Schizosaccharomyces pombe: one gene and its partners. The gene in region 1 interacts genetically with each later gene. Each region holds a gene or a part of one and is shown in the gene's direction. Other genes may lie near its edges.

Region 1 (5,726 bases):
GGTCCTGCCGAAGCCTTGTTCCAAAAACCTTACTTTCAACTTCTTTCCGATGCTCTTCGTGGAGGCGGTGTCATTACTACTCAAGCTGAGTGTATGTGGATTCATTTGGGTGTCATCAGCAATGTCTTGACTGCCGTTAAAACAGTTTTCCCCAATGTTCGTTACGCATACACTACTATCCCCACCTATCCCTCTGGATCTATCGGCTTCGTTGTAGCCTCCAAGGATGCTTCCATCGACCTTAGCAAGCCTCTTCGCAAGTGGTCTCCCGAAGAAGAGAATAAGCTTTGTAAGTACTATAACAGTGAAATTCATGCTGCTTCCTTTGTTCTTCCTACCTTTGCTCGTGATGTCGTTGACAAGGCTACCTCCTCTTAAGCAAACATTTTTATTTTTTTTGGCTAAAGTTTCATACGTCTTAATCAATGCAATCTTAAGTCAAAATGTATACTCTTTTTTCTTTGTTTTCACACTTCTGCTCTCTACTTTTTGTAAGTGAGATTACGTTCTCTTTCGGTAGTTGATATGCAAAAAAACCAGTGAAATACCAGCATAAGTAAATAATATTCCTTTAGTAATTGGTACCAAGAAACCTATGTATTAAATAATCTCTAAAAATCAACATGCTTTACATTTTAAGTGCATTCTTGACAACTTTTTCAAGCTCTTCGTAGTCATCTGTAGGCACTCGCGTGATGGGACGTTGGAAGTATTCTTGAATGGCGTTCATTTCTTCCCAACTCTTTTTATCGTGAACAAAATTGATACTTACTCCAACACGGCCGAACCTACCGGTACGACCTATACGGTGAAGATATGTTTGTGGATCGGGTCTTCCTGCTTGATCTAAAGGCATATCATAGTTTACAACCAAGTTGACTTGCGATACGTCGATACCCCGAGCAATTACATTCGTAGTAACCAAAACCTTTGAAGTACCTACTCGGAATGAATCCATAATAGCGTCACGTTGTGCACCTTCCAGATTACCGGTAAGACAAGCAACAGTGTGTCCATCTGCAGTCATACGCCTAGCAATTTCTTCAGCGGTATCCTTTTTCTTACAAAATATAATTGATTGACCAATAGTCAATAACCCATATAATTCCACTAAAACATTATATTTATGTTCTTCACTTTGGCAATCCATATACAACTGCTTGATTCCCTCAACAGAAAGCTCCTCAGTCTTCAGACGAATTTCATTAGCATTGGGAGCAAAACGTTCAGCGTACTTTTCAACGCGTTCCGAAAAGGTAGCACTGAAAAGAACAATCTGAGTGTTTCTAGGAAGAAGGTGCTTGATACGCATAGATTGATCTCCTAATCCTTGCTGATCTAACATGTTGTCTGCCTCATCTAACACGAATACTTTAATATCGCGAGCGTCAAGCTGTCTTCTCTTCATCAAATCCATCACAGTGCCAGGCGTTCCGATTACAATTTGAGCATCGATTTTTGCACCTTTAGGGACGGAGTCTTTAATACCAAAAGCTGTTTTTACTTCAGTATATTTGCCCATCTCCGTCACGACATCCATAATCTGACGGGCCAATTCACGAGAAGGAGCGAGGCAGATAGCTTGAGGTTTGGGAACAGAAGCATCAACACGAGAAAGCATCGTTAATGCAAATGCAGCGGTTTTACCAGTTCCGGATTGTGATTGTCCGATCATATTGCGAGGAGGATTTGAGAGTAAAAGTGGAAGCGCCTTCTCTTGAATTTTTGAGGGTTTTTGGAATTTCATTGAATAAATTCCCTTTAATAATTCGGGCTTGAGCTCCAACTCTTCAAAACTTTTAACAGAAAAAAGAGGTGAGTTTGGATCAGCCTGTAGATCTGCTAATTTTACACGAACCTCGTTTTTATTTGGTATTAAATTAGATTCATCATTTTCAGATTGCTTCGTATTGGCGTCCTCTGCAATCGTGTTGGTCGCTTTGTCTTGCTCAGATTTTGCATCAACATTCTCAGTGATTTTTGGACCTAATCTGTCACTTAAATTTGTTGCTTTTTGATCTTCATTTTTATTTTCTGAAGTATTTAACTGATTGACTTTATCACTAATTCTTTGAACCTCTTCATCAGAGTCCAAACTAGCCCAGTCAGTTTTGCTTTCCTGTCCCAGTGTAGTTGACATTTTGGATGTTTTTTAGTAAAAAAAATAAAAAAAATCAAATTTATAGTTCAGATATCCAAACTCAGCAAGGATGACTTAGCAAACTGGATGACAATTTCTGGTGGGCAATGTAGTTGGTGATTGCTAAGTTACTCCTTAAGTGAAAGTTGAACAATATAGGTTTCGATTCACCACCGTACTTCCTTTTCATCAACATTCGTAACGTAAAGCCAAAAATTGTCACAATTTCTTCCGTCAAACTTTCTTTTTAATTGTTTTATATCCGGTACAAATTTTTATTGCAGCGATATCAAACGTGTAGATAATACTGGATAATGAGCCTGGAAACATACAAATTTAGTGATGAACTTCACGTAAGGTGTTTTAGTTATTTGGCATATTTACTAATATATAAAAGGACGATTTTAAAGTTGTCGACAGTTGGGTATGCCAAGAATGAAAATGAAGACAGTTCAACAATTAACACATTGTAACAAAGATTAATAATGGCGCGAAATGGCTTGAAGATATTCAATTGTACTACAAAGAAAGAAGTTCTATTGGTAAATAAGAAACGACAATGGTTAAATTTCAATGACTAACTTTGTTGCTAGAAAAAGAATATGCTCAGAAATTAGCCAGTCTTTCGAATAAATATGGGGAGAAGAAATCCAGAAAATCATCAGCCCTTTCAGTCGGAGATACTCCGGCAATGTCTGCTGGCTCTTTAGAATGGTATGTAAAATATTGGAACCTGTCAAGCAATTGAAGTTAGATGGATATTGAATTCCTGTTCACAGGCTAATTTTATAGTGCTTCTTTAACAACATGGTCTAAAATTTTGGATGAGTTAACGCGCTCATCAAAAACTCATCAAAAGCTATCCGATGACTATTCATTGGACATTGCTGAAAAACTGAAGAAACTAGAGTCTCATATAGAGGCTTTAAGAAAAGTTTATGATGATTTATATAAAAAATTCTCATCCGAAAAGGAGACATTGTTAAACAGTGTGAAGAGAGCCAAGGTCAGTTACCATGAGGCCTGCGATGATTTAGAAAGCGCAAGGCAAAAAAACGATAAATATCGAGAGCAAAAAACTCAAAGAAATTTAAAATTATCTGAAAGTGATATGCTCGATAAGAAAAATAAATACCTACTTCGTATGCTTGTATACAACGCCCACAAGCAAAAGTTTTATAATGAAACTCTACCAACGCTCCTTAATCATATGCAAGTATTGAACGAATACAGGGTTTCGAATTTAAATGAAATATGGTGTAACAGCTTTTCAATTGAAAAGTCTCTCCATGATACCTTATCCCAAAGAACCGTTGAAATTCAATCAGAAATTGCAAAAAATGAACCAGTCCTTGATTCTGCCATGTTCGGAAGGCACAATTCAAAGAATTGGGCACTTCCTGCTGACTTGCATTTTGAACCTAGTCCTATCTGGCATGACACGGATGCACTGGTGGTGGATGGTTCATGTAAAAACTACCTCCGAAATTTACTGGTCCACTCCAAAAATGACCTTGGAAAACAGAAAGGCGAGCTTGTATCGTTAGATTCACAATTGGAAGGTTTACGCGTCGATGATCCAAATAGTGCTAACCAGTCATTTGAATCTAAAAAGGCTTCGATAAATCTAGAAGGGAAAGAGCTCATGGTAAAGGCCAGAATAGAAGATTTAGAGGTTCGTATCAACAAGATCACGTCAGTTGCGAATAATTTAGAAGAAGGAGGTCGTTTTCATGATTTCAAACATGTTAGTTTTAAACTTCCGACAAGTTGCAGTTACTGTCGTGAAATTATTTGGGGGTTATCGAAGCGTGGATGTGTTTGCAAAAGTACGAAATATTTGCTTTCTTTCGTTAACTAACAAAACACGTGTAGATTGTGGCTTCAAATGCCATGCAAGGTGTGAACTTCTTGTTCCCGCCAACTGCAAAAATGGTGAGCCCGAAGTGGCCGACGATGATGCTGTAGATACCAGTGTTACTGCCACTGATGATTTTGATGCTTCTGCGTCGTCTTCAAATGCCTATGAATCCTATCGTAACACATACACAGATGATATGGATTCAAGTAGTATTTATCAAACTTCCTTAAGCAACGTGAAAACAGAAGAAACAACGCCTGCTGAACCAGCGTCAAAGGTTGACGGTGTAGTTCTTTACGATTTTACCGGGGAACATGAAGGGGTAATCACAGCTTCTGAAGGACAGGAATTTACGCTACTTGAACCAGATGGTAAGTAAAGCTTGAAAAATCCCATTCTAATAGATCAATATAGATGGCTCTGGTTGGGTTCGAGTAAAAATCGATGGAACTGATGGCTTGATTCCAGCTTCTTATGTTAAATTGAATGATGAATTAAATACGAGTGTGACACTTGATGGAGATTCTTCTTATGTTAAGGCGTTATATGCATACACAGCTCAATCCGATATGGAATTATCAATCCAAGAGGGTGATATAATTCAGGTCACAAATCGAAACGCTGGAAACGGATGGTCTGAAGGGATACTTAATGGAGTGACCGGTCAATTCCCAGCTAAGTAAGTCTTTGTTTTTTTTTTTTATTCATTTCTCCATTTCTTTGCACAAAAACTAACATATGTCTTAGTTATGTTACAGATGTATAAACCATTGAAATATCTATATGAATATTATCTACTTCATTGTTGATAAATTTTACCTTCTTTATGTATTACGAAAAGCAAATTGTCAATAATAACTTACGATTTTTTATCCACTACAATGTAGTTGGTCGATACACCAAAGTATTTTTTTGCTAGATTGATCTTTTTTTTTTTGAATTTTAGATATTTATAATAACTATACTAAATGCTATGCCTAAGGAAAATTTTTTAAATTGAACTATGCTATATTTTTTTCGTTAGTAACCAAAATTTATGTTTACTGAAGAATACAGTTTCGCGTTACGAGAAAATTGATCAACAATTTTTTAACGAATACATACAAACACATTGTCATTACAACAGAGAGGAATCGAAGGATGTGATATGTCATCGTACATTTTCAAAAGTAATCTGCAAATTGAAACAAACATATAAACGACATGTGATATTGGAACTAAGTCTAAAAACATTCCCGATAACGAAGGGAAAACTTTCATGAAAGGTAACGAAAAAGAGAAAAAAGCCAAAATGGTGAAAATATAAGGAAAAAAAAGTTGTGTGTTCAATTCTTCTATACTTTAATTATTCGTAATGATCTTCGTCAACTCGTATGTCTTAGCGCCGTCGTCAAACTTGGACAAAATGCGGCTAGGAGGATATCTGCCCTGGACAACACCCAAGAAAGCATCAAATTCATTATAATAGGGATCATCTTCGGGGAAATTAATAATGCGTTCGCTATCAGCCTCAGGAGAACGAATGTAAAGTCTGGGTTGACCGTAAAAGTCAACCATACGAACATAATGACCATCTGCTTGAAGCTCTAGACAAGTGTCATAATTCGTTCCTTGTAAAATGATACTATGAGCGAGAATACCAACTGCACCCGACTTATATTTCCATGATGCAGCGGTGAAACGGGGGATGCGCTCCTCTTTGGGAATGGACTCCTCGTCAACAGG
Region 2 (5,011 bases), 620 kb from region 1:
AAATGTAATTTAAAGGTTCCTAGAAATCGAAACAGTTTATCTAATCTTGACGAATATTACGTTAACGGATTGGAAAGCGACGAAACTCCTACAAAGGCTAGATTTCCTAGATATCCTACGGTATTTAATAAGTTAGATGACAAACGACTTAGTAGCGAACCAAACGGCTTGAAGAAAAGATTGACGAACTCTTCAAATTATGAGGCTTCCCCGCGGGCCAAAAGTTTAAATTTGTCGCAAGTTAGTTTGCATCAAGCATGTGAACCTGAATACAATCGAAGTTCTTTGGTTAGAGCAAGTGATGTGTTTACTTCAAACGTATTTGATGCTACAGAGGAAAGCGCAAATGAACTCGCCATTCGTATTTCAGAGCTTCAAGCTGAGGTTGGAACCTTATTGTTGGAAGCGACTTCGTTGGCTTCTATCATAGAGCAGCAGACTCCCGTGTCCCCCGAAGCTTTCAAGCAAGAGTTGGTTGCAGATTTAAATTATAGATTAGATTATTTACGGAAATCTTTTCAACCTGAACTGTCTACCTTACTTTTGAGGCGAGACGCTTTGTCTACGACTGTCTCTAAATTGCAAAACGCTTACAGCACTGTAATGGAAGAAACCGCATATCTGAATGTTAAGAACACAGAACTGGTAAGCCTTAACAATCAATTGGAGAGAGAATTGGCATACTTGAGGGAGCAGCAGCATAAGAAGCGAACTTCTTCCTCTTTCGGAATATTTAATAATGATAAAAAATCCAACCGAACGATTTCAACCCCGTCTCCGCGAGAATCGTTTTCGCGTCTACAAATGGTTGCATCTAGCCTTGGATTTAGACCCAAAGACAATAAAGACAAGGAGAGTGGAGGGTATAACAAACGGAACTCTAAAATAGATCTTAAGAAGTCATTTTCTAAACGGTTTCATTGGAAAAGAGATTCTCCTCACATGTCGAGTACTCCCAGTATTTCTGAAGAACATTTAGCTTCTGAAGAACAAGAGGATTTCGTTCCAGCGGTCGGTCACTGCAAACTTTGCGGTAAATACTCCAATGAGCTTAGAGCACATTATCAGGATTGCGTTAGTTCTACTATAGATCGTCAGTATCAATCTAAAAAAAGCGAATCTCCTGTTTGGGCTTTGAATCCTGACGACTTCGATCAAAACAGGCTAACACTCTTGAGAGTCCCGACGCTTATCGTTTCTTGTATAAATTTTATCGAGTCATACGGCATGGATTTTGAAGGTCTGTATCGCAAATCAGGGGCAACTTCTCAAATGAAAAAAATTGTTGCGTTACTAAGAAATGAAGATACGGTACTTGATCCAAGTGAGGATATTTCTGCTGTCACTTCTGTATTCAAGCAATATCTTCGCAACCTTCCTAATCCAATTATTACCTATGACCAATACTTTCCGTTCATCACAGCAGCAAATTGTGCCTCTTTCCAAGATAAATTAGACGGTTTTATAATGGTCATCAAAAGTCTTCCTCCAGCTCATGCTGAAATTTTGCAGCTCATTATTAGACATTTAGCAAGGGTTGCTGCATATAGTCATGCAAATCGAATGACATCCAAGAACCTTGCAGTAGTATTTTCCCCAACATTAATACGCGACCCCGATAATTCCAGAGACGTTATTGACATGACTGTTAAGAATTACAGTCTTGCGTTTTTGATAGATCATGTACATGAAGTCTTTGCCTAAATTCACACTATCCTTTAATAATTCGCTCTTTTGTTTTGCACGTTCCTTTATATTCTTTATTCGTCTTTTTTTGTTGTTTTAGTAGTTGTACCATAACTTTGGGCAGTTATATCGAGATTCCTTTTTGCATTTGCTAAGATAGTTTCATTTTTGGTCATTTTTAGATGTCATCGTGAAATCAGTGGCAGATGAGTGTTTTATGGATTTGGCGTATAGCTTCTTCATAATGCATTATCACTGCAGACTGACATCCATCGCTTTTATTTAATCATTTCCCTGTTTTAGTCTACTTGGCATTACTCACAATGCTAGGCTATGAATAAAATGCAATTGCATGTATAAAAAAGGAGAAATTTGTATTTTTTTTTAATTTTATTATGCTTTCAAGGATTTAAAGAAGCATTTTTTCCCAAGATCCCTAACTTAGGAAATGCTAGTGCAACGTATTGTGAGTAAGTGATTTTGTAGATATATCATGCCCATTATCTTAATGGAATTCTAAAAAACCAAAAGCAATTCCTATAAACAAAAATTATATACGTTATATGGTAAATTTTTTGAAGGGGGTTAAATAGAGTTTCGAACGTCTAACAAAAAACCAACTCCTGTTTTACTACCACTTTTTTTTGAGAAAAGAGGGTCTTTAAGCAGGATATTTTATTATCTATGTGAACAAAATTACGGAATTTTACTAATGGCAGATGTTATTAAACGATGCATTTTGGGCCCGACTGAAGCCGGCTGGTTCGTCGCAAAGTCTCAAATAAAAAAACCAGTTGACCAAAGACCGGTTATCCTAACCCATTGTAAGCTGCACAGCAAAATGCTAGAGCCAAAGGCGATTGTTTATAAAAAAAATTCATCTGCAATTCCTAAACGAGTTGACAACATTCTTCTTCGAAGTCAAAAGCCCAAACATATAGAATGCCTACTTGTGGACTCTAAAATCACCAAAACAAGGAGCCTTTTGAAAAGATTTGGAAGCTGTCTTGATGAAACTAGTACCATTGTACTTTTAAATCAAAGTGTTTCCTTGTGGGAGGATTGCTACAGTTTATTTCCAAAGACTGAAACCAGACCGCGAATATACCTTGGCAGGTTCCAAACTCTATTCAAATCTTTTCCATTTAATTTAATTAGTGATTCTTTCAGTTATCGTCTCAACCTTAGCAAACTTCCTCGTACACCTTTGGAGAAGTGTACGGTAGCTAGAGCCTGTAAACAGTTTCCGTTAAACCAAAGGTCCCCTTTACTTGACTTGATGGGTTCCTTTGAAAGGGACTATGTAAATTTTTCAAATTTTTCACAGATGCTTTCTGCACAGTTATGTGACTCTATGGCTTTTTTAATTCAAATTTTTCCTACTCCATTACTCAGGCAAAAAGCTGCGAATGCGTGGATCGAAGTACTTTCTAAATTACCATATTTCCATATTCTTGATAAATCATTTTTTTCTCCCCACTTGTTACTTCAAAGCTCTGAAAATCAAGCATGCAAATTTTTTAATATTGGTCCTCAAGTTTATTTCGATCCTAGGGAAAGATTGCTTCATGTTAAGGAGTTACTGAAGTTCGCTTTAAAGCATATTGACAGTAATGATTCTCTATTTACATTCTTAAAGCAAACTTGTTATACTTGTGATTCGCCTTATGCTAAAGTGTTTCAGCCCGATAAACAGTCGTTTCATAGCATAATTTCAAGAAAGCGTCTTGCTCATCTTGAAAAGGAATATTTTGATAAGGATGTATCCAAATTAGTGCTTTGATTTGATATGAGGTGAAAAATTGACCGAACATATTCCATCTACTGGTAATTTAACTGTTCAATCCGTTCTAATAAATTCACCATAATTTCGAGAGAAGGTTGTTTTCAATTTTTTATGTTAAAAAGAAAAAGCAAAAGAAATCTAGGGATAAAATATCGCTAAATTTAATTCTTAGCCTGATCCAAAAGCTACTGAAGACTACTGTATCTCAGATAAAGCATTGTCAATTATAACCACTCCCCCATGATGTTTCATTCTTAGTCACTCCTTTGTTTATCTTCGAGGATTCACTCATCTTTCAAATAATTTGAACACCTATACTTTGTTGAGATTGCAAACAGCCTCTATTACCTTTTTATTGATCATAGATCATTAACTTGAAAAATGTTAGTTATAAATAACATAAAATATTACTAAAATCATTTCATTCTCATCTTTTTTCACGGTTTTCCTTTTTAGGTAACAATTTATTGTCACTTGAAATTCATGAAACTCGAGTGTATAGAAGTTTTCATTTCTACAATTTAGGCGTTTCGAAGATTAAGTTGTTGTGGCATAGAATTTCTTTAAAAGATTACTTCTTAACTTTTAGATTGAAAAGTAAACCAACAAGCAAATCATTAGCCAAATATGTCTACAGCTGAACAATTATTTGGGGCCGAAGAAGAAGAGAAGTACGTTGACCAAGATTTGAGTGAAGATGAAGAAGATGAACGATTTTTAAAAGCTATTCGTTCCTCAAGATCAACAAAACCAGTTGTAGACGTTTTAAAGGTCAAATCTGAAAGCTCCGCCGATGAGCTTGAGGAACGAGATGCCCATCTTGATCGCTTCCGGAGAGATTCCACGTTCGAGTCTGAAACTTCAGACCATGAAGACTTTTCAGGCGGCTCTGAAAATGAGCTGGATGAGGAGACCACAAAAAATGCAAATTCTATAAAAAAAATATCACTTGAAGAAGTTGAAAAGCAAAGAAAAGCTATTAAGCGTTCAGGAGTTATATATCTTTCTCGTATCCCTCCTTACATGGCACCAAACAAGCTTAGACAAATTCTTTCTCAGTATGGAAAAATTGGAAGGGTATATTTAACACCTGAGTCATCAGCTAAGAGGGCACAAAGGCTGAGAAATGGCGGAAATAAAAGAGTAATGTATGAAGAAGGTTGGATTGAATTTGAAAGCAAACGCGTTGCCAAATCAGTTGCAGAATTGCTTAATACAAATCAAATTGGTGGTAAAAAGAGCAGTTGGTATCACGATGATATATGGAACATGAAATATCTTCCTAAGTTTAAATGGCATCATCTCACTGAACAAATTGCTGCTGAGAATGCCGCCCGTGAATCTCGCCTGAAGGTTGAAATTGAGCAGGGTCGCAAGCAGTTAAAACAATATATGAGAAATGTTGAAAATGCCAAAATGATTGAAGGTATTCGTAAAAAGCGAAGTGAAAGAGATACACTCAATGTCTCTACAGAGTTTCCTGAAGAAACAAAAGACTTATCAGAAGATACTAAGCCAAGCAAGCAAGCCCGCCGCTTC
Region 3 (4,247 bases), on another chromosome or scaffold:
AAGGTGTAAGATTGACAAACAACGCTTGCTCACGTCTCGATAGCTCAGCTCAGGTATTGTATAAGGAAATATAAGGATGGTACTAAATATGTTTACGTAGTGCTATGTGCGCATTCAATTTATTACCGCGACGTATCGAGTGTCAAAGAACTACAGATAGTACTAGTACTTTTGCCATTCGCTTACAAAAAGCGCATATCCACATAAAACTAGCATTTTCAAATTCATCTGTAAAGTCAAATAATTCCAACCCAAAAGGACGGTTAAATTTTCCTTACTTTAATTTATTCTTTTTTTTTGAATTTGGTAAAGCAATTCTCGTACGTTCATTTCATTTTTTTTTCATAGTTTCCAACAATGTCTGAACGAAAGGTACTTAACAAGTATATCCCGCCCGATTATGATCCTTCCATTCGTCCTCCTAAGAAAAAGAAAAAGTTTCAAGGACCAAATGGTGGGAAATTGACTGTTCGTTTGATGACTCCATTTTCAATGCGCTGTCATACTTGTGGAGAGTATATATATAAAGGAAAAAAGTTTAACGCTAGGAAGGAGAAAACCGGCGAAAAATATTTTTCAATTGATATATTGAGGTTTTATATTCGCTGCACTAGGTGTGCTGCTGAAATAACATTTATAACCGATCCAAAACATGCAGATTATGCAGCAGAGAGTGGAGCTTCCAGGAATTATGAGCCGTGGCATGAAAAAAGATTACAAGAATATGAAGAAAATGAGTTAGCTGAACGCAATGACATTCCTGAGGAGGACGAAATGGAAAAATTAGAACAAAAAACATTAGACACTAAACGACAAATGCAAATTAGTGATGCACTCGACGAACTACGTGAAAAGAGCGCTCGAAGGTCTCGAGTTAACATTGATGATGCAATCGCTCTCTTAAAGGAAGATGCATATGGATCAATTGAAGAAGAGGAGTCCAAAAAGCGGAAATTTGAGGAAGAAGAAATTGATCGTGAAGCTAAATCGTTGTTTTCGTCTCAGGATGGTGAAATTATAAGAAGATTGAATGCAGAAACAACGGTTGAAAAAGAATTACCCAAACCTATAGATTTGGTTTCTGAGAAGCTGGCCACTTCCAATATACCGAATTTTCAGCCTCCAAAATATGCAAAAAGGAAAATGGAGAAGAAAAAGGTTTTGGTATAACGTCTATAAATGGCTAAATTTTTTAATTACTTGCATTTTTTATAGCTAAGCTATTAAAAATGTACATGTTCTTTTGTACCAGCGCAAGGTTTTTATTGTAATAATATTTAATGAGTTTTTGATGGATTTTCATAACGCGAGTTGATAGTCAATATCCTGTTCTAATTTTTATTATTCGATTAGTAAATGTAGTTTGTTATGTAGAATAATACCGTAGCATTTATAGAAAGGTTTTATTTTGTTTGTATCTATTCTTCAACTTTAAGTTTTTAACAGCACATGTTAATTGATTTTTTTTAAGGTTCCTTCTAATTTTCCGAGTATCTAATTGTAATTTATCAATTTACATTTACGGTTTGTCAAAAAGTAGTCTTAATCGTAGCTAAATTCAAGGCGGCTAACGTAAACAACGGTTTAGGAACTATGATAGGAACGTCTATTAATTTATTTTAAAAGAGTTTTTTCTTGCTTAATTAAAAACTACTTTTAGAAAAAAATATTAAAACTTATTCTCATCATGCCTGTGACAAAATATTGTTAGACTCATCTTACATAGTAACCAATATTTTGGAGAACACCAACTAAAAACGTATATCATAATAATTAACTCTTAAACAATAATTAAAAATTAAATTTTGGCAGTTTGAAGTACGAAAGATTTTTTAGTGTCTCAGATAGACACCTTGAATACCCTTTTTTTTCTATTTTTGTAAGATGCTTCGATCTTTACAATTTTACAGATTATCCAGCAAAAACTTGCTGTCATTTAAAACGTGCTATTCGTTTTACTCTACAAAAGCTTCCTCTCCTTTGCCGCAACCATCATTCAGGAGATTTTGGAAGAATACAGCTACCAAAATCCAAAATGGAGAAGTCTTGATTCAATTAGATGGACGAAATTTAAAATCACCTTCTGGGAAGATTGTTAAGGTACCTAAAGAAATGGAGTTACTAGCACACTTGATTGCCCTAGAATGGGATCGATTACCATCAACCTCTGTTCGACAACACAATCTCCCAATTACTTCCCTAGTTTCGAGAGCTATTGACATATCACAATTCAAAAAAGAAGAAAAGGAACTACTTTCTACTCAATTAATTCGTTTCCTTGACACCGACACAATTCTAATTTACTCCCCCGAAACAGAATATGAAGGGAAATTGTTGGAGGAGCAAAAGGAAAATTGGTGGCCACTGAAAGAAACCTTTGAAAACAAACTTGGTGTGCAATTAAGCTATTTGGATGGTGATGCTGGTATTATTGCCCATAAACAAACGCAGGAAACACACGAACGCATAAGAAACTGGCTCAGCTCGCTGAACTCTTGGCAACTAGCAGCTTTTGAAAGATCTGTTAGTTGCTGCAAGAGCTTCATAGTTTCTTTCATGATTTTAAAAGGATATTTGAACTCTGAAAAAGCTGCCGCTTTGACGAACTTAGAACTTCAGTACCAAACAAATCGATGGGGCTCTTTGGAAGATGGTATGTATAAACTCTCTATTATTCTAATGTTAAATACTTACAACTGCAGCTCACGAAATAGACAATGAGGATCTTAAGAATAAGTTGGCCAGCTCGGCAATACTCTCACGGTGCATAGAAGACATGCATGACAAAAGTAATGAACATGCCCACTAACGGCTATACGCAAACTCAAAAAATTACAAAATTTTTGGAATAGCTCCCTCTGGGTGAACTCAATTAAGAGAACCCTACAACTGTTTACTTAAAACACTGCACATTGCCAAATTAGAATTATAGAGTAATGTTGCCGTCGTTGAACAGAGAATTCTAAATTAGTTTCCTCATGTCGAATATGCTGAGCTATTATGTCAGTTATCCTTCAGACCAAATTGTTTTGACAAGGTACCCAAAATTAATTCATGAATCAATGTAAATGAATAAATTAAGATAATCCTGCATTTTGTAATTTATCTTTTAGGTTAGATATCTCTTCTTCCTTTTGAGCCAATAGAGTCTTTGTCTCTTGTAATTCTTTCTTAAGAGGTTCTACATAATATTTAAGTTCCAACTGTACGAATGTGAGAAGCTCCCGAATCTTTTCTAAACGTGAAAGATGAATGCAATTTGTATCGTCGTGGTAAAAAGAGTCATTATTGTCAGTGCCTTGAGTTTTATGCTGCGAAGAGTCGAATACGATAGGCTTGTAGGATGCAGATAGTTCATTTAATGAAGACATAGGTGGTTTGTCATTATCAGGAACTTGGAATTTCTGGTTAGTGTTATTCAAAGTAGTTATACTATTGGGTTGTGAAGGTAATCCGATATAAGCAGGTGAATCATTTTTTGTTGGGGTTCCAGGTTCTGTTTCGGAAAGTAAAATCGGATGCCTTAAAGGAGATGTTATGTATCCAGAATTTGGGGAAGTTTTTTTAGGACTCAATTTGTTAGCATCAATGGACATAAGAGAGATGCCTCGTCTTTTTGGAGATAGAGAGTTGACGCTAGAGTAGGATATATCTTGATTGTTCCCCGTAGACGATTGTTCTTCTCCTTCGAACCACTGCTCAAAGCAGGTGCTCATAGGAGTGCTGATGACTTGCTTAACTTGGTCTGATACTTTGCTTTCATGACCAGTATCCTCGTTTAGTAGTTTTTTATGCAAGAATTCATCGTAAGATGGTATGAAGCTGTCAATAGATAAATCTATTGAGCCATTAGATTCATTATTAAGCTCGCAAAGCGCTTCGTCTAATTTAGAGATTCGCGATGCTTTCTGAAGCAAGATTTCTCGTTGGTCGTCTATTACTTTTGTGGGCGTAGAGGAACGCAACGGATACTCCATTTCCATATCTTCATCATCTGTATTTTATTTTATTAACTTATTAATCTTCCATTAAAAACACACGGCATTACATACCAACTGAAATTGTAAAGTCATTACCCAATTGCTCAGCAAATATTTTTGTATTTTTGTTAGCAGAATCCATTTATATAATAAAGAAAAAAGGTTGAACAAGTGTCATAAGGATTTGACAAAAAACACAAAAGTACCAACTAGGAAAATCTGCAATTCTTAGTGTATTTAAAAACTTCCTAAAGTAGGTCAACGTGA
Region 4 (4,932 bases), on another chromosome or scaffold:
AATCTTCTAACTTTGAGAATTTAGAAAGCCCTCGTAATCTTCATGACTCTAATGTTTCTACTTTTAATAATACCACCATCTTGGATGACGACTATTCTAGTAGCATGCACATATCTAAAACTGGACCCACTCATTCTTTTATTATTTATATTCAAATGCAGCTTTGCTTTGATGATCTAGAGTCCTATCTAATAAGAAGAAACCATTTTCTTTCATTCCCACTATGTAAGGAACAAATACAACTGCATACGGATTTATTCCGAATGATAATTAATGGCGTTATGTACGTACATGAAGGTGTGAACTTGATCCATCGAGATATCAAACCCAGCAATATATTTCTTGCTAAATCTTTACCGGAGGACCGTGGGTCTGTTCCTTTAATTAGTTATAATGATAAAAACGATTTGAAAGAATACATTACTCCTAAGATTGGTGATTTTGGACTCGTTGTTGAAAATAAAAAAAACACAGAAACCGCACTTTCTTTTCTTGAACGAAACCACTTGCCTAATCTGCAAGATGAGACTCAGCATATAGGCACTGCAACTTACGCGGCTCCGGAATTGCTAGATGCTATGTCTTCTCAGCATAATAAATTTACAAAAAAAATCGATACATTCTCATTAGGAATGGTTTTGTTTGAGCTGTTGCACCCGTTTCAAACAAATATGGAACGTGCAACAAAACTTCAAGACCTTCGTCGAGGAAATCTTCCTGAAGAGTTCGTTGAGCAACATATTTGTGAGTCAAGTTTAATTTTATGGATGACAGCCAAAGACCCCACGAAGCGACCATCACTTCTGGAAGTTCTCAATTGTGGACTATTATTACCTAACCAAGTCTCAATGCCAAATATATCAAATATTGTATCAACAAACCACTTGGATGTTGAAACTCAAATGAAACTTATAATGGATGAAAATCAGCGACTGCGTGAACAAATTGCTGTTCTACGATCCAGGATTCAACATCTTGAAACCCGCTAAACTAAAAATCTTCACTTTTTAATACTTAAATTTCCAGTCAATTTGTTCAGTTTCCCGAAAGTATAGCATTATTTATATCTAACGCTTTTATGCCACAAGTAATAAAATAAAGCAAGGATACATTAAAGCTAATTTTGTTTGTAAAAGCTCCGATAAATTCCTTATTATTAAAACCATTCATATCTATACACCTAAATAATCCAAAATAAAAACGACAAAGTAAAAACTATTGAACAGAATCCCTTAAAAAAAGATAACATTCAAAACCTTTTTTTTTTTTTTACCAAGAATGTTGAACAGCAGGTATTTTTTCATTTTCACGTTCTTGCTCATACTCAATATGAATATGAGGAGCGCGCTTCTTCCTGGATTTCTTTGCATCGTCGGTCTTACGTTTCCTGATTTTTCCTTTGTTATCCTCATCCTCATCCTCATCGGATTCAGACTCTGAGCTTTCCTCCTCTTCAGACTCTGAAGTTTCCATGGACTGATCTGAGCCGAGCCAATCTTCCAAATCAGAGATTTCTTCTTCATCTTCATCATCACTAACAAATTCTAATTCAGCTTCTTCTCGTTCCTCCTCTTCCTCGCCTTCATCAATTAAACCCTCACGTGCGGCTAGTACCTTGTTCCATATTTCTTCATTAACATTCAAAGGTTGATCACCATAAACACCACTTTTAAGTCGCTTAACCAATTCTTTTTCAATATTTTTCTCTAATTTGGCGGCAATAAGTGCTTTTCTTTCACGAGAAGCTTCACGATGCGCTTGTTTAGGCTTAATGGGAATTAATGCTGGTTGGTGTTTTAATGCCAATCGTCTAGCCTTCAATAGGTACTGAGTGAGGCGGGTTAGTCTTTGCTTACAGCGGTGGATTTGACGACCAGGCCAATACAATAACTGTTGATCAATTTGCTCCAACGCTTTAGCGTAATTTTTTGATAACTTTATCCGTTGCCAAAGTTTCGATGGAAAATGCGCACGTTCTATAGTTTTCATGTAAAGATACAGCTTTCCATTATCCTCCCGTACTGTGGCATATCTGGAGTTAGCCAATGGACATGATTGTCTATTGCACAACCCAGTGACATTGTATTCATTTCTGCAAAAATTTTGTGCCTCCCCTCTAAAAATTGTGTTAGGTTATAATGTAATACTAAAAGTGCGAAATCAACTTACTTGATCCTATATGAACAAAATTCATGACCTACAACCTGCCAAATCACCTCGTCTTGCTGCATTTTCGAGTATGGCGCTTGGTAAAGAAAATCCAATTAACAAATTCAAGAATCAACCATATAACGAATTTTAAGAGAATGCGGTAAATATTATTAACGGGAAAAATTGTAAGTAATGTTGTGCAAATGCATGGATCAAGTAGACTGCAGATATCCAACATTAAATTACAGTTGTTTAGTTGTTTGGTGTAGCGTTCGTTTTTGGGATTAATCCTTCTTTAGTTTCGATGATTTATTAATAACCATTGATACTTTTCATTAACTATATTGGCTTGCTAATCTCCTAAAAATTCTTCAATTGCAATTTACGATCATTTATACTTGATTTTTAAACTGTTGATTGATTGATTAGATAATTGCTTCCGTATGTATAATTTTGCAATAAGCTAAGAAGCTTACTGCTTAATTTTGAAGTTAACTACCAAAGCAACTAATAACGTCAAATCTTCAGTCTTGTTTGAGATAATTAATCAATTTACTACTGTTAAACTAATGTTGGAAGATAAAAAAGCATGCGAATATTAAATCGAGTCTTTTTAAATACTTTTCAAGCATGCTTTAGAAGATTCGTTCATCAAATTCCTACTATATATGCATTATCAACTCCTCCCGGTACATCTGCTGTTGCAATTGTTCGTATTTCTGGCCCAAATGCATGCAAGGTAAGGCAAATGTCTATAAATCTAGAACAAACCGATCATTTACTAACAACTAATATTAGGTAGCAAAAACACTCGCAGGAAGTGTGCCAAAACCTCGTATAGCGTCCCTGAGGACGATCAAACACCCAGTGCGTTCTGAAGTCATTGACAAAGCATTGATGTTATATTTTAAAAAGCCTTCATCTTTTACAGGTGAAGATGTTGTTGAATTGCAATTACATGGAGGGACAGCTGTGGTGGATGTAACACTTGAAGCCATAAAGCAGTCAGGAATTCCGAATATTCGCTATGCTAAGCCAGGAGAATTTTCCGAAAGAGCATTTTATAACGGTCGTGCAGATTTGACGCAACTGGAAGGATTAATAGACGTTATCAATGCGCAGACAGCCGAACAACTTTACAGTGCAAATAAAGAAGCACATGGCTCCATTTATGATATTTGTTTTCGATGGAGAAAAAAGCTTATCGAATATCGTGCTTTTTTGGAAGCGTCAATTGATTTTTCAGAAGAACATGAACTGGACGATATTGAAACGATCAAGTTGTTTGAGGAATTGAATGAAATGAAAGATGAAATAGACGCTCATATAGAGGGAGGAAAATGTAAAGAAGTTCTGAGGAAAGGTATTAATGTGGCTATTCTTGGGCCTTCCAATGCTGGGAAGTCGAGTTTAATTAATTTACTAGCTAACCGCAGAATATCAATTGTAAGTCCTCAATCTGGAACGACAAGAGATGCTATCGAAGTACTAGTAGATATAAATGGATTTCCAGTATTGCTTTCTGATACAGCAGGACTCAGAAAAGGAGAAGACGTTCAGGAAATTGAGAAAATTGGTATTGAAATTGCGAAAGCCAGGGCGGAAGAATCCCAGTTAACACTTTTTGTTTTTCCCATAAACTACCATTCTTTTTCCGAATCTTTAAAACAGTCAGAAATTTTGGAAACCATTAAAGATTGCCTTCGTCAAAGAAAACCTATTCATTTTCTAATAAACAAAGTCGACTGCGTTTCGGATTACACAACTATGTTTAAGCCCATTAAAGCTTATCTTCAGAAAAATTTTTTGATTCCTGAAAATAGAATACATGCAGTTTCTTGCAAAACAAAAGAAGGACTTATTGATTTCTTGCAAGCTCTTTCCTCTACTTTCGAGTGTATGGTCAACCCTCTTACTAATAATAAAATTCAAGCAAATTTGGGTTGGAATGAACGTCAGCGTCAATGTTTATCAAGTTGTTCCAGCCATCTTTCTTTGGCCCTGCAAAAAAGCTCAGACATCGTAGTTGCTGCCGAAGAGGTGAAGCTAGCTACCGAAGACATAGGTCGAGTAACTGGGGCAGTCGACATGGAAAACGTTTTCTCTGTCATTTTCTCAAAATTCTGTGTTGGAAAGTAATGCATTTGTACAATTATGCAAGCTCGTTGACAAATGTTAAGCTGCAACTTAAAATCTCATCTTATTTATGAATTCGTTAGTTTATTTAGAGAAAAATGGACAGACAACATGGTATTATTGGTAAAAGTCTACATTTCTAAACGCGTTCAAAACTTCAAAATACAAAATATTGAATTATTTATTCATCAAATTTATTTGCTTTCACGTAATATGTGTATTTACAATTTAGCAGCTAATGAGTTTAGAATTAAGGAGGGCGTGTTAATACTCGTTCACTAATGGCTTGAGCTGAATTAACGACATCAGACGAACCTTTAGTAATGGTAGTCAAGGATACAACGATACATAGAAGAAGTGCGGCTTTCAATTTGCCATAGCCAAATCATCAAGATTATCAGTTTCATGGAAAAAAACAGTTCTGTCGATAGTTTAGACATCAGTTTACTTGCAAGGCCATTTCGAAATCCCAATTATAAAGCACAACCTAGGCGAAATCGGAATCTACGACAAATTATTCAAAATGACCCAGTACAAAATGAACCAAGCAAATTTTCTTACTCATCGATAGAAGCACCGCCTAGTGTCCTCCCTCAACCGAAATATTGCGATGTTACTGGATTACTGGCTATTTACACAGATCCC

The links.
Region 2: mutations in bzz1 (region 1) and cbp7 together harm fitness less than expected from each alone (positive genetic interaction), as found in Schizosaccharomyces pombe (one large-scale study listed by BioGRID).
Region 3: mutations in bzz1 (region 1) and atp12 together harm fitness less than expected from each alone (positive genetic interaction), as found in Schizosaccharomyces pombe (one large-scale study listed by BioGRID).
Region 4: mutations in bzz1 (region 1) and mss1 together harm fitness less than expected from each alone (positive genetic interaction), as found in Schizosaccharomyces pombe (one large-scale study listed by BioGRID).

Annotation. Positions count from the first base shown.
Region 1 is NC_003423.3:2,463,719-2,469,444, forward strand, and holds bzz1 (diacylglycerol-binding protein Bzz1), read left to right. Parts: upstream 1-2,309; 5' UTR 2,310-2,454; coding exon 2,455-2,493; exon of another isoform or gene 2,494-2,537; coding exon 2,538-2,564; exon of another isoform or gene 2,565-2,618; coding exon 2,619-2,682; exon of another isoform or gene 2,683-2,733; coding exon 2,734-2,854; exon of another isoform or gene 2,855-2,932; coding exon 2,933-3,969; exon of another isoform or gene 3,970-4,015; coding exon 4,016-4,372; intron 4,373-4,415; coding exon 4,416-4,680; intron 4,681-4,748; coding exon 4,749-4,767; 3' UTR 4,768-5,021; downstream 5,022-5,726. Other genes in the region: srm1 (spermidine synthase), read left to right, coding at 1-378; ATP-dependent RNA helicase Dbp5, read right to left, coding at 629-2,140; SPOM_SPBC12C2.04 (NAD-binding dehydrogenase family protein), read right to left, coding at 5,343-5,726. UniProt on the Schizosaccharomyces pombe protein: Plays a role in endocytosis and trafficking to the vacuole. Functions with type I myosins to restore polarity of the actin cytoskeleton after NaCl stress.
Region 2 is NC_003423.3:1,841,063-1,846,073, forward strand, and holds cbp7 (protein Cbp7), read left to right. Parts: upstream 1-2,304; 5' UTR 2,305-2,398; coding exon 2,399-3,469; 3' UTR 3,470-3,941; downstream 3,942-5,011. Other genes in the region: Rho-type GTPase-activating protein Rga4, read left to right, coding at 1-1,704; U3 snoRNP-associated protein Esf2, read left to right, coding at 4,100-5,011. UniProt on the Schizosaccharomyces pombe protein: Translation factor for cob1/cytochrome b; plays a role in cob1 mRNA stabilization and required for correct folding of the protein.
Region 3 is NC_003424.3:1,485,693-1,489,939, reverse strand, and holds atp12 (F1-ATPase chaperone Atp12), read left to right. Parts: upstream 1-1,749; 5' UTR 1,750-1,884; coding exon 1,885-2,653; exon of another isoform or gene 2,654-2,702; coding exon 2,703-2,809; 3' UTR 2,810-3,077; downstream 3,078-4,247. Other genes in the region: cwf16 (splicing factor), read left to right, coding at 358-1,170; SPOM_SPAC9.11 (uncharacterized protein), read right to left, coding at 3,078-3,994, 4,053-4,122. UniProt on the Schizosaccharomyces pombe protein: Essential for the assembly of the mitochondrial F1-F0 complex.
Region 4 is NC_003424.3:950,412-955,343, reverse strand, and holds mss1 (GTPase mss1), read left to right. Parts: upstream 1-2,376; 5' UTR 2,377-2,740; coding exon 2,741-2,890; exon of another isoform or gene 2,891-2,949; coding exon 2,950-4,290; 3' UTR 4,291-4,432; downstream 4,433-4,932. Other genes in the region: eIF2 alpha kinase Hri2, read left to right, coding at 1-989; nuclear HMG-like acidic protein Mak16, read right to left, coding at 1,270-2,116, 2,170-2,231; Ino80 complex subunit Ies6, read left to right, coding at 4,693-4,932. UniProt on the Schizosaccharomyces pombe protein: GTPase involved in the 5-carboxymethylaminomethyl modification (mnm(5)s(2)U34) of the wobble uridine base in mitochondrial tRNAs.